2 linked regions of the Tribolium castaneum genome follow. The protein of the gene in region 1 interacts with the protein of each later gene in a pairwise test. Links are inferred from orthologs where the notes say so. Each region holds a gene or a part of one and is shown on either strand. Other genes may lie near its edges.

Region 1 (6,685 bases):
TTTTTTTATTTTTTACCTCAAACATGACCGCGATCAAATGCAGAACCTGATGCCACACACTATGGTACTGGTACCCAAGACCAGCTTCAACACAACTGAAACACTTGTTAATTTTCGAGCTAAACTGTTCCACTTGTTCTTTAATAGCACAAGCTGGACCAACAGCATCTTTGAGTAAATTTTCCAAGGCATGAGTGGCTGCAGTCATAATTTCGCTTTTTTCCGACAGCCACAACTGACTTATTGTTGCGAAAATTTTCGGTAACGCTGCACACGATGCGGCCAAATCAACACTAGAAAAAATTTAAAATAAAAAAAAATAAAAAGTTGGGGGAAACACCGACTCGGCCAAATGCACATGCGCTTGCTGCATCACAGCCAACCAGGCTAAAGTCGGCTGGACATCACCTGCAGCCGGCTGGTATTCGTACAACGCTGAAATTAACTGGGCGTTCAATTTTGGGGGAACCACAGCCGTTTGGGCCGAAAAAAGCGCATGGAGCACCTGTAGGCCACATGACGTGACGATTGGGTAGTTTAGAGTCATCAATCTTAAAATAATCTCGCAACATTTCTAAAAAAAAAAAAAAAATCGTATTATCGTCGCAGCTAAAAAAACAACTGTACCTTCATGTGCGACTTTGAAAAACTACAAATTGTGTCTTTCAACAACCCCAGAGTGTGTAAAATGGTCGTCTGACCTGCCTGTATTGAAGAAACTAAAATAGCGCCCGAATTACCTCCCATACAAGTGTCTAAAGTTTGCTCGCAAAATTCGGCGATTTTATCAGCCGCAATATTCGTGTTAGTTGAGGTGAAATAGTCAGATTTTACGACTAAAATTACAGCTTGTTGGGCTGCTTTACGCCACTAAAAATCACAAATTAGGGACAGTTTTTACGATTTTTCAGAGGTGGATTAAGGGCCTGCGAACCTGTTTTTTATTAAAATTGTATTATTATATATTTTTATTTTTTTATTATATATTATATATATTTTTGCTGTATTTCAAAAACAAATAACGACACAAAAAACCAGGGTTTACGATTGGATAACTTTTTTCCTAAGCATGATTTTTTTTATTTATCGACAATTCTTTATATAATTAAAATTAATAAATTATTATGGAGAGGATGAAAAAAATTAACGATGCTCGAATGTTGAAAAAGTCCCGTTAAAGTTTGTCGACCATTTTCAAGTAAATGGCAACTTAATTCAATTAAACGTGCTGCCATTTAATTGCCAAAAATATTTTTTATTTTAATTAACTAATTAAGTAATTAAAATAAAAAAAAATCTGTGAGATTAATTTTTGAAACGTAGTAGAAATATATTTTTGGACCCCAGTCCACTTAATCCACCTCAGGTGTGCCTCACTTTTGGTTTCGTATGAAGACAAAAGGGGTTCAACATCGAGGTAAAAATCTTAACCGTTGCTTCGTTAGTCCAAACAATCAATTCCTGTTTCCTCAGAAGCGTCCCCAAAATCCCAAAAATCGACTTAACGATCGTATTATTATCAGAATCGACGTAATCATTAAGAATGTGCAAAACTTTCGCCGATAAATCGCTAAAAGTCCGGCGTAAAACCGGCTCTGGCACCGTCTTGATCCCCATATTCAGCAAAGCCAACGCCGCCGTCAACTGCTCCTCACTGCGCTCCTCCCCCTCATACACACGTTCAAGTGCAGTTATCAGCGAACAATAATATTCAGTGGCCGTCTCAGAGCCCCCGTTTTCCCTAATCACCTCGCTAATCGCCGCAAGCATCGCCAGCATCTCCTTATGCAGGGCGGAATCGGCCCGGAAGACTTTCAAAAAGCGGGTGAACGACATGTTGCTGTAACTCGACCATTCGGACGCAAACGATTCCATGGTTTTGTACGAGGAGTAGGTGCCAACTGACGACTCCACATCCTCGTCCACGCCCATGGGCTCTGGGTCCGGCCGCGGCTTGAAGGCCTGAACTGCATCGTGTTTGCGCAAAGCCTCAGACGTTAAACCGCTCGAGCCCAGATTTTCTTGAAAGAAACGCGATTTGGCCAAATCACGGTACTTGTGCGTCTCGGGGTTCGAGCTCGAGCTCTGGCCCTTCGGCCACCGCTTGCCCTTGGCCTGGCCCTTCAGCTTGGACCGGAACTTCCCCATTTTTGCTAAAGGAAAACAGATCAAAAAAACATAACCTCACTTAACGACACGTGCCGTTTTTTATCGACTGGTGCAAATCTACGCATTGTATTGACAAAAAGCAGAAAAAACTTACGTTTTTCCACTTATTAACAGCAATTGGTTTTAGATAATGTTGATATTTACACAAAAAAAAACTTATTTAAACTTGATAGTTGACATTTAACTTTGCCACACGTGGTGGGTTTCACTTTCACCAACCGTGAAATAAAAAAATTACAAGAAAGTTCAAATTAAATTAATTTGGCCCAATATTTCGACTCATTATTCCTTTTTGATTGTTTCAAATGCCACACGGGGTGGAACGCCACACCTGGAAAATATCTGAGCGTTGGTTTTGCCCCCAAAAACCGGGCAGTGATTTTAGCTAGTCCCCAGATATTGGTGCCAGTTTTTGGCGGGATACCATTTAAATGTGAGGTTAAGTGAGTTAAGTTTTAACTAAACACTGTAAATTGTGAATTTTCGCCATGGATTTCACGTCGTATCGCCGCACGGTGCGAAAAGCCACCGCCGAGGAGCCCCTCTCCGAGCTGTACCCCCACGACGTGAGCATGTACCGCGAAAGCCCCAAAAGCGAGATTTCCATCCTGGAATTCGAGCAAATCGCCCTGGACCGGCTCAAATTGCTGCGAATTATCGAGCAAGCGGCCCCCAAAGGCAACCGGTTGTACAGCGACCAGTGGAAGACGTGCATTAAGGACGACTTGGCCAAGGCAGGGTTGAAAAAATACGTGCGCTTGATGGGGGGCACCAGTGGCACGAGCGACTTGGATTACCAAGCCCGCAAGGCCGATTACCTCTCACACTTTATCCTCCGGCTGGCGTATTGCCGCTCGGAGCAATTGCGACGGTGGTTTTTGAGCAGGGAACTCGAGTGGTTTTGGATTCGTTTCACGGCTCAGTCGCGCGAGGGGGTCAAGAATTTTTTACGAATTTATAAATTCTCATATACTCCTATTTCGGAGGAGGAGAAGGTTTCGCTAAGGCATGAACTGGAGGCGTCAACTGCGGGGTTGATTCTGTTCGAGGAGACTGAATTTTTTAAAGTGCCTTTTACTGAAGTTTGCTCGTTGGTGAGGGGCCGGAAAGTGTTTCTTAAGGCTGGGTTTGCCTATATTCCGTCCAGCGAGCTGGTGGTCTGCATCCAGTCGAAGTTCAGGGCTGAATTAAGCGAAGAGCTAACTGTAAGTCTAGTTATATAAAAACATATATAACGAAATAAGCCCAATTTTAGTCATTTTCAGAGAAATTATAAACGTATCTTAAAAATATTCTGCTATAAATGCTATAAGAATTTTGTTATAAGTACCGAAAATTTATTATTAACTGAAACCTATTTTTTCTACAATAACAATAAAACATCAAACGGAATTTTTTTTTTAAAACGTTTAACATTTGCACTCTGACAGGTTTGAAATCCAGCAGTTTAATTTAAAAATACTGTGATGTATGGTTTGAGATCGACTGCATATTTTATTTATTTTTATGGACTTACTATTTCGTTTTAAAACTGAGCACCCCAATAAAAACGTGGTCAAGAGTGCTTTGTAAATTTCAGCAACAATTGGTAGTTACCTATGAAATTTTCACAGCACGCGTGACTACGATTTTTATTTCGACACACGCCACCTTGACCGTTTAACAATTTGTGATTTTGATGTTTAAACATTTAATTCCTGCTATTTTAGAAAAAAATCATATTTAGACAAGTGTTATAAAGCTTGTGGAACCAAAATTAATAACCAAATTTTTTCTTATATTCTATTTTACGTAAGATGATTTTTTTATATTTTATTGTAAAACGAAATGGGCGCTTATGTTCTCAACTATTGAAGGCACTCGCTCGCTACGCTCGTCGTGCTCTAAAATAACTCCAATTCGAAACTTTCAGTGGTACAGCCACCGCATCCACCTTTTCGACGACGAGCGTATTGGGCCCCTTTTGTCCAATTTCCACAATTTGCACACGGGCCAAAATTACCGAGTCCGTGAAAACCACGAAAGTGTCGATCCAGCAGATCTGGACACATATGCTAAAAAACACTTCCCTCTCTGCATGAAACACATGCATGAGGTTTTGCGGTCTGAACACCACCATAAACACCAAGGCCGTCTAACTTACGGTCTTTTCTTGAAAGCTATCGGGCTTTTGTACGAAGATGCGCTCAAATTTTGGAGGGATGAGTTCACGAAAAAAATGGATTTGAATCAGTTTGAGAAGGGTTACGTTTACAATATCAAACACATGTATGGGTTGGTGGGGAAAAGGGCCAGTTATTCGCCCTACAGTTGTGTTAAAATTATTACGAGTAGTGTGGGGCCTGGGGAGCACCATGGCTGTCCGTTTAAGCACTGGGATGTTAATCTTGTTAAGCAGAAAGTTATCGAATGTGGTGTGAGCGTTGATGGTAAGTTGGCTTACTTTTTTATTTAAATGAAGTACTTTTTGTACCTATTACAGGTGCTAATGAAATCAAGCAGCTTGTTTCTGATGGTCATTATCAACTAGCTTGTGGAAAATATTTCGAATACACTCACGGAAAAGCGCTGGGAAATGGAATTAATCACCCTAATCAGTATTTTGAAGAGAGCATGAATATTGAAAAAGGAGCTTCAGGCAATAAGAAATAATATCTGTTACTACAATTAAACGTTATTTTTTAATAATTTATTTTATATTTACCCTTCAGTCTAAATTGCATCCGTTTTTTTAATTTGGTTTTAATAAAGTCCCAAAGACTTTAATTGTTGATACATGCTTTCACGTTGTATTTTATAGTTAAATAAATATTTTGGAGAATAATAATTGTGTTTCGTGACTTCAATGGCCCAAAAATTCCATTCAAATAAATTTTATTAACACATCGTACACAAAAGATTACATTCGTAATAAAGTGTCAAAAACATATTGTAATCTAGAGTTTAAGCTATCTCTACTAAAATAACTTTGGTAAATAAAACTGAGTCATTCAATTGTTTGACCTAACAACTGTACGTTTCTTTGGCTAATACTTGAAGCCCGTGCTGAAACTCTAGATTAACGCCTAGTATTAAAAAATAGCTAAATCGGTTATCAAATAAAACATGAGCGGGTTATAATACAAGTCAACAAGACTACTGTTTTCATCCCTCTAAACATATGTATAAAAATCGAAAATATCACAATGTCGTTTTGAAGGTCTGAAATAAATTAGTGCCGTGTTTTTCGTACCATCGGGAGCCAATTTTAAGCAAAATGAGCAGTTTTTGGTCCTCTTGAAACATGATGTAGTTTGCCTTGGACTCATCATACAGAGAATACAATAATCTATGACACGTAACATTGAACACTTGACTTTAAAGCTATAGGATACAATTAATAGGCCTGTTAACATAGAGAAAAGCAAATTAAATAATAATACATTTTCCAAGCTTGCTGAGCTTCCGCCGCTTTTGCTTCTCGTGGTCGGGCTGCGGCTGATTCCTTATAATGCGCACAACCTGGAAACAACACCGAAATTTATGGTGTTGGCACATTTTTTTTAAATCTACACTTTTATAAGTACAGAACAGTGAGGAACACAAAATTTAAGTAAATAAAGAATACCAGGAACATGAACGAAATTGTGAACATTAAAAACAAAACAAAATAAAATAATTAAAAATAAAAGAAGTTGTAGAAACTGGGACAAATTCCGTACCGGTAATAGTTTTTGTAAACGTTGAGAAGATAATAAATGTGAAAGCAGGAGTCATAAAAAGATGCAATATGTAAATACGTACAAGTGTGCTTAAGATTCTACAATTTTTAGCAAGGAAGTGAAAAAAATGCAAAATAATCGAACTTGTAGTCTTTTTCCAATTTGCTAATTTTTTTAAATAATAAGTTTTGGTAAAAATGGAATATATTGCACATATTTGTACCGAAAAAACTAAAAATTATGAAATGAAATTAAAAGCACCAGCTTAGAAAACTACATTTAAAACTATTTAATTATTTTTTTTACTTTTGAAACCGGTGCATACATAAAAATTCTATATTACTTCCCGCTTTTAAAAAATTAAAAAGATGCCTCTTACAAAATAAAGAACGATAAAACCCTTTGTAAAAAATTATTAAAACTGTTTTATTTTATTCTTTCTAAATAATTTATATAGCCAATTAATGTTAAGTCTTTCAATAACGATTATGTGTGTCACCTTTGCAAGTTTCGCTATATCTTTCTAGAATACGTTTTTAAAATGAAAAAATATCGATGGATTGTTGTCATTTCCGACCAAATTTGGTGATTTTTCGTTCTAATTTAATAAAAATAGGGGAAAACTTAAAAAAAACTTAATTTTTGTTCTTAAAACGTGTTTAAATCCTCAGAACCTGCAAAAATAATCTTATTTTTGACATAATTCTGCTTTACTTTTTAAGAAATTTTGCGCAATAATTGAGTTTTCACTGAATAAACGCTTAGAAAAGGTAAATTTTTGGTCATTTCCGACCAAATTTGGTGATTTTTTCGTT
Region 2 (6,693 bases), on another chromosome or scaffold:
CAAAATCTAAACAATTATACGAAAGAGTATTCAAATTTTTGGGAATGGAGGAAGCGGAAGGATGCAAAGGGAGTAGACGAGAGAATAATTTTGGCTTATATTTCTGAACGATCCATAAATGCAAAATCTTCGTCATTGTGGGCGTATTATTACCAACTGAAGAAAATGTTATCTGTTAAAGAAAATATCGATATAAGCAGGTTTGTGAGGATTATATTGTTTATAATAAGTTTTGAACTAATAAATAATTGTTGTAGATTTCATCAGGTATCTGCTTTCTTAAAGCAACACTCTGTAGGGCACAGACCAAAGAAATCTAAAGTCTTCAGCTTCGAAGAAATGGAAAAGTTTTTAGTCACTGCTTCAGATGATGAATATTTGCTGCAAAAAGTGGTTCTAATTGTGGGAGTTTTTGGAGGCTGTAGAATTGGAGAATTAGTTGCCATGTCAGTTGATGACGTCGATGATCGAGGCAACGTAATTGTGGTCAATATTCCTGACACGAAGACTTATAAGCCAAGAACATTTACTATCATCAATGGAAGTAACTCTATTCCTTCCACTGACGTTTTTTGCAAGTACAGAAAACTACGACCCGAGAGTATTTTACACAAACGGTTGTTTATCAATTACCGTAAACAGAAATGCACAGTGCAACCAGTTGGGATAAATACTATTTCAAAATTTCCCGAAAAAATTGTACGATTTCTTTGTCTTCCAAATCCAGAAGAATATACCGGACATAGCTTTAGACGTTCAAGTGCAACTTTACTGGCAGACTCTTGAGCCGATTTAGCAGTGGTAAAGAGATACGGAGGATGGCGTTCAAATAGCGTTGTGGAAGGATATATAGAAGATTCCCTTAATAATAAAATTGAAATTTCAAGGAAAATCATAAACCATTCTTCATTCCTTCATTCAGAAGGAATCCACCTCAAATTCGGAAGCACGTACTTCCGCGTCATCAACATCAGTGTCAAATCAAAATATAAATGGGCCTATTAATGATAGATATGGTGTACATTTCAGTAGCCTCAGTAATTGTAACATTTATTTTAAATAAAAGTATTTGTTGGTATTCATTAAAGTCATTTAAATCAATAGTGGAATAATTTTTAAATCACTAGTGAATAAATCACTACTTATGCGTGTTACTATGGAATCAATAATGACACTTTATAATGTCAAAATTGAATAAAATAATTTAAAAATAAACAAAACTTGTAAAGCACTATAAACTATATAAATCAAAGTTGATATGAATTACGGATACCTAAAGGTTAAGGTAACAAATGGTGTACAAATAGAACATTCCCGTCCTAGAAAATTTCGTTAATGTCTACAGAAAGCGCACTTGTATTACCACATAAGTTTTTGCAGGAAAAAATTAACTTTGTTACTTGACCACAAATAAAATAAAGCGAATCCGTCCCCTCAGCGTCTTTGGGGTCTAAACCCAATATATGATCTCAGCGGACTTTATTAAAGTAAATTTAATTCTCTACAAATTTCTTCATAACACTTTTCTTGTATCTTTTTTTCTCAGTCTGTTAAGAGTACAAAGCTGAACATTTCTGCATTTTTTCCAAGTAATTAGTGAATTAATTGTATTTAAATTAGTTTTTTTTGTTTTGTCTCCTAAGTTATAGTCCTCCGTAATGTAAATAAAAATTCTACTGAAGTGCGATTTGGAAAAAGATCCGATAATTGTTATTTATTAATTTATTATACAGGTTATTCAAAAGTACTGAGCAATCTCTCGGGTTCCATTGTTCCTAGTTCCTTTAACAAAAAATTGTTTGAGCATTTTTTGATCAGATATACAGGGTGAGTTAATAGTGGGTTAGTTCTGACATGCCCTACGATGCAACCAAAAGTACTAATATATTAAAAACAAGTTGTTTAAAAAAATCTGACTTCATGTTTGTGCTTAACTGAAAGTTTTTCATCAGTACCACCATACAAGACTTTGTCCGACATTTTTTAATCATCCTGTAGGTACAAAATGAAAAAGTTTCAAAGGCGGTTTTACTCCCGGACTAAAACGCTTGAAAAAATAATAGTAAATTGCATAATCGTCGTGTATACAATACAACATTTTATTTCATCCTCCAATATGTCGATTGAATTACTGTTTTTTCAACAGATTTTAAACTCAACAATTAACACAAAATATCAGAAACAGTTGTGAACCATATTTCATAGACGATAAAATTTCATTTCACCATAAAGAAAACATTAGAAAAAATTGTATTTTATCATTTACGGTGAAATAAATTGCTTTTTTTCAGTGAAATGTATTTTCAGTACTAAATTTTCTACCAAATTGAATATAACTCAGAATTCTAAATTTGGGACTAATTTTATCATATGAAATATCTGTCGTTATCTTTTTGCCACTGCAAATTTTAGCTCTTATGATACGTGGTAACTTTCAAATAATTGGCGTTTGTTGGATTCAGCGCGCAGGTTATGTTGATTGTCAAATTGTCGGAAGACGTCAAAAAAGTAATTTATCGTAATTTACATGTTTACTTACTAACATTTACGTTTTTACAATTGGGAGTCGCTTCCCCAACTTCTAGTCTTTTTTTGTGTTTTTATTTTGTGTAATTCGGTGTTTGTTTTTTTACCGGGAAAGTGGGTGTGCTAATAAAAACGAAAATTTCCTTTTGAAATGACTTAATTTGCATTTAAGATGAATACCAACAACAAGCTCAGTCCAACGCGAAACTTTTCAGGTGCGTAAAACATCAAAAGATAAGTTTGAGGCCACTTGAGGCGCATTTTAGGTAATCTCGCAGATAACAATGAGGAGCCCTACCCAAGCCTATCCGATTACCACGACTACGAACCTAATCTCGAATTCGACGATAGCGAGTTGCATCAGAGCCCTGATATTGTTGTCCAAACAGGTGAGGTTTTGCAATAAACAAACATTCGTGTCTGACTCAGCTGCAGCCGAGTTGATTCAAATGGAATCAAACGGCATTAACTCGCCCATTCCCGACTTCACCGACGACAACTTTGAGGACGAGTTGGCCGACCCCAGCGAGGAGAACTTGGACAGCTTAGTGTACTCCCCTTCCTACCCCGAAGTCGACGACTCCCCCACACGTAAGTTTTCCGAAATTGATAAACATAAAATCGTGGATGTGAAAGGAGACGATTCCGCGGGGAGAAAAATCATCGTTGTGTACGCCCATAGGCTGCCGCCCATCGCCGAGATCAATCACAGTCTATTTTTAAAGTAATTGCATTAACGGCCTACAGCGCGTCATATTTACAATTGTGCAATTTCAGTTATCTTACCCACACTTTAGATCAGTATGTGGAACAGGATTATAGCTTAGTGTACTTCCATTATGGCCTCTCAAGCAAGAATAAACCCTCCCTCAGGTGGCTTGTGCAAGCCTATAAGGCTTTCGATAGGAAATATAAAAAGAATTTGAAAGCTTTGTACTTAGTCCATCCAACTGGCTTCCTAAAGTTCGTCTCGCAAATCTTCAGACCCTTAATTAGCGCCAAATTTGGGAAGAAAATCAATTATATAAACACTTTGAAAGAGTTGAATGAGCACATATCGCTGGAAAAGTTGGACATTCCGGAGGAAGTGATTGAGTAATTATTCTTAAATTTGTGGAGGACTGAAACTAGGAGGCGAAACGGCATTCAGAATTACAATTGAGTGGCGCGTTTAGGCTGTCTCAGTTTTTTCTAACGGTTCATCTTTGTTGAGCCAATTAGGACGCGAAATGAAGTACAAAGCAACTCGATTTTCTGAACCCAAAAATTTTATCTTGATTCCAAATTGTTTTAAATTAATTTAAATTCAATTAGTTTGTTAATTGTTTCGAAAAAAGGCAAATTCTTAATAAGCTGAGAAAAAGTAGCGACTTTCACACCACAAACATAAGAAAAAAAATAGAACTTGCGCTCCGTGTTTTTCAGAACGCTGCGAATACGGTGAAAGTTGTAGGTAATAAAATTTTCAAAAAAGCCAGAGACCATATCCTCATCTTTAACAGTTAACGCCCCCAAAGACTCTCGACACCACTCAAACGAATTGGTTTCATTTTTATCAGTAGTTAAAGTTGAACTATACTTAGAACGTCCGAAGAGGAGCTGTTCAAGCAAGCGCGTGAACGCAAAATTTGAAATTGGATTTTTAAGAAAAGTAATAAACAAAATACTTTCTTTACAATTGTATGTTGTTCCTAAATTCAGTCACTACCTCACAGGTGAATTTGTATCTCATTTTAAGTATTTGTAACAGAGTTTAAACGCGTTAAAAAGACGATTTAATTTTTTGTTCTGTTAAAAAAATGTAAGTTCAAATTGCTTGAACAAAATATGGTGACTTTCTGAGGACCTTAACAACAATGTACAGCCTGCTCAAAAACTGGCGCACCAACTCAATGGTGTGTGATAGAGAACTGGTTACATATAAAGGTAAAAATAGTAAAAAAAATTCTTTGTATTAAAGTTATTGATAAATAATGAATTTTAGATAAATGATATGTGGCAACGTTGTCTAACAGTCGTGATCGCAATAGAATTTGATCAACAATAAAAATAAATTATTTTTCAAAAGGTTTCCTAGGAAATAATTCCCAGTGTTGGCACATCTACACATTGTGATTTTTTTGATGAATTTTATTTTTTTTTAAATTAGAAAACCGCTGAAGTCTGATAGAAAATTTAAAAATAATCATTCATCGTTTTGTTAGGGAACGATTACCTACTGTGAAACATAAAAACATTGAAAAATAATGAAAATTAAAGAAATTAATACAATAAGTTTGTAGCTCCAGATTTTTTAAAATATGACTAAGGATTTTTTCAACTTTTTTACCGTAATCTGCACTTGCTTCTCAATAACGTACCACTAAGTTGGTGCGCCAGTTTTTGAGCACCCTGTACATAAATTTGAAAAAAATTGAAAATAAAATGAAAAAAAAACATTTTTAAGCCGTTTTGGTTTTTTATTAAAAAAAGGGTACTATGTTTATTGGTAATTTTTTATATAGGTCTTATATATGACGTACTTGTAATACTATATTTTTTTATGCCATTTGAACTGTAGGTTTTTCCATAAAAGCATTAAGGTTATTACACTGTTTACCCTGTTATGACTTGGTTATAAATATATAAATCGAGATAAGAACTGATCTGTGAAGTAATAAGTGAATATAGGAACATCATCCAATTGTAAAAAAAACGATTTTTTATATTATTTTTATTAAAAATTGAGTTTCAAATTAGTGCATGCGCACGGCCGCCTGAACGGTGAGCCCAGTTTAGTTGAACCTTAAATGACAGGGGAACAGTTTAAGGCTAAAGGGGAAGTCGTTTTAGTGTGTTTCTAAATCGACAGATGGCGCGGAATTTATTTTTCTATTATTTTCATATCCATTTACGTATGCGAAAATGAAAAAATGCCTTGTACATAGAATATTAATTACATTTGTGTCTGCGAAATATTTTTTTATTTTTTCATTTATTTTTGTTGTAAAAATTCGATAACGAAAAAGTTTTCAAGATGCGAATTTTGTAAAATTTTTTTGATATTCGCCCTGCTGCCTTGTTCTTTTGATGCTCTCATAAAGGGGCTGTGAGAAAGGCACTCTGTGGAAGCAGTATACAGGGTGTATCAGAAATACGTGTTTTAATTTAAACAGTTAACAGAGCTCAACGAAAAAAACATCTTTTTTGTTTCTAATTTTTTAATAAAAAATTCGGAAATTTACTTAAAATTTGGAAAAAATAAGATACTGAAATGTGTACTTGCCTATGGGTACAAAATTAAAAGAGCCGAACTATTTTGGTTGTGATAGAAACGGACAATTTGAACAATTTTTTACGTTTTATTACGTGTTAAAATTAACACACGTATTTCTGATTCACACTGTATTAGCTATTGTAAGATGTTTTCTGTAGTACTATAGGAACAAATATGGAACTAACACCAGTTAAATCTCATCTTTGAATAACCGCTAAAAAATATTTTTTTTCTGAGTTTTACTACAAAACGATAAAGAAATGTGTTATCAAAAACATTAAACAAAAATGTCGGTTGTTTAAGAAAATTAGGGGTACTCAATAACCAATGACGTCATACATATTGTTATGGCATAACATCGAAAACGAAAAATAAAATCATCCTATTCGAGAATTTTTTGAGAAATGACCCATAACAAAAATATGAATTTTGTCAGTACACTTTGTTCTTTTCTTTTTTTGTATGTGAATGTTTTCAAAATATTTCTAAAATTTCTTCTAATTAAAATTATTTAAATTATTATTTCCGTGTCATTCTACAACAAACAATGCTTAAATGTTTAGTGCAAAAATTAAATTAAATATGAATTAAATAATCGAATAAACTTAACTGTGGGGTTAGCAACAATATTAAGTTTGCGCATAACTTTTTTTGTGTTTATACTGTACGTTGTTGGAACCTTTTACTCTTAGCAATATGTTAATCCAACCAATACGAAATTGAGTAATAAGAAGCTTATAACGTAACTGGTTTCTAATGCTTGTGATGCGTAGTCACTATCGTCTTTAAGTATTTTTTGCCCAAAATATAATTAAAGAATCGCTTTTTTTAGGATAAATTACATTAGCTATTATTTTTTTAAAGAGCATGAATAATTTATAACAGCTAATTTTAAGACAAAATGGGACGCT

The links. The genes of interacting proteins can lie anywhere in the genome.
Region 2: the proteins of Prim2 (region 1) and RhoGAP68F interact in a two-hybrid assay, tested with the Drosophila melanogaster proteins (2 studies listed by BioGRID). The link is inferred for Tribolium castaneum from reciprocal best matches to the Drosophila melanogaster genes Prim2 and RhoGAP68F.

Annotation. Positions count from the first base shown.
Region 1 is NC_087395.1:23,553,174-23,559,858, forward strand, and holds Prim2 (DNA primase large subunit), read left to right. Parts: upstream 1-2,424; 5' UTR 2,425-2,657; coding exon 2,658-3,374; intron 3,375-4,081; coding exon 4,082-4,598; intron 4,599-4,651; coding exon 4,652-4,821; 3' UTR 4,822-4,942; downstream 4,943-6,685. Other genes in the region: RRP12-like protein, read right to left, coding at 17-293, 345-574, 628-870, 1,378-2,148; ras-related protein M-Ras, read right to left, coding at 5,578-5,670. UniProt on the Drosophila melanogaster protein: Regulatory subunit of the DNA primase complex and component of the DNA polymerase alpha complex (also known as the alpha DNA polymerase-primase complex) which play an essential role in the initiation of DNA synthesis.
Region 2 is NC_087394.1:22,483,951-22,490,643, forward strand, and holds the start of RhoGAP68F (rho GTPase-activating protein 1), read left to right. Parts: upstream 1-2,456; 5' UTR 2,457-2,698; coding exon 2,699-2,741; intron 2,742-2,792; coding exon 2,793-2,915; intron 2,916-2,961; coding exon 2,962-3,250; intron 3,251-3,303; coding exon 3,304-3,621; intron 3,622-6,693. UniProt on the Drosophila melanogaster protein: Functions as a GTPase-activating protein (GAP) for RhoA/Rho1 during gastrulation by converting it to an inactive GDP-bound state.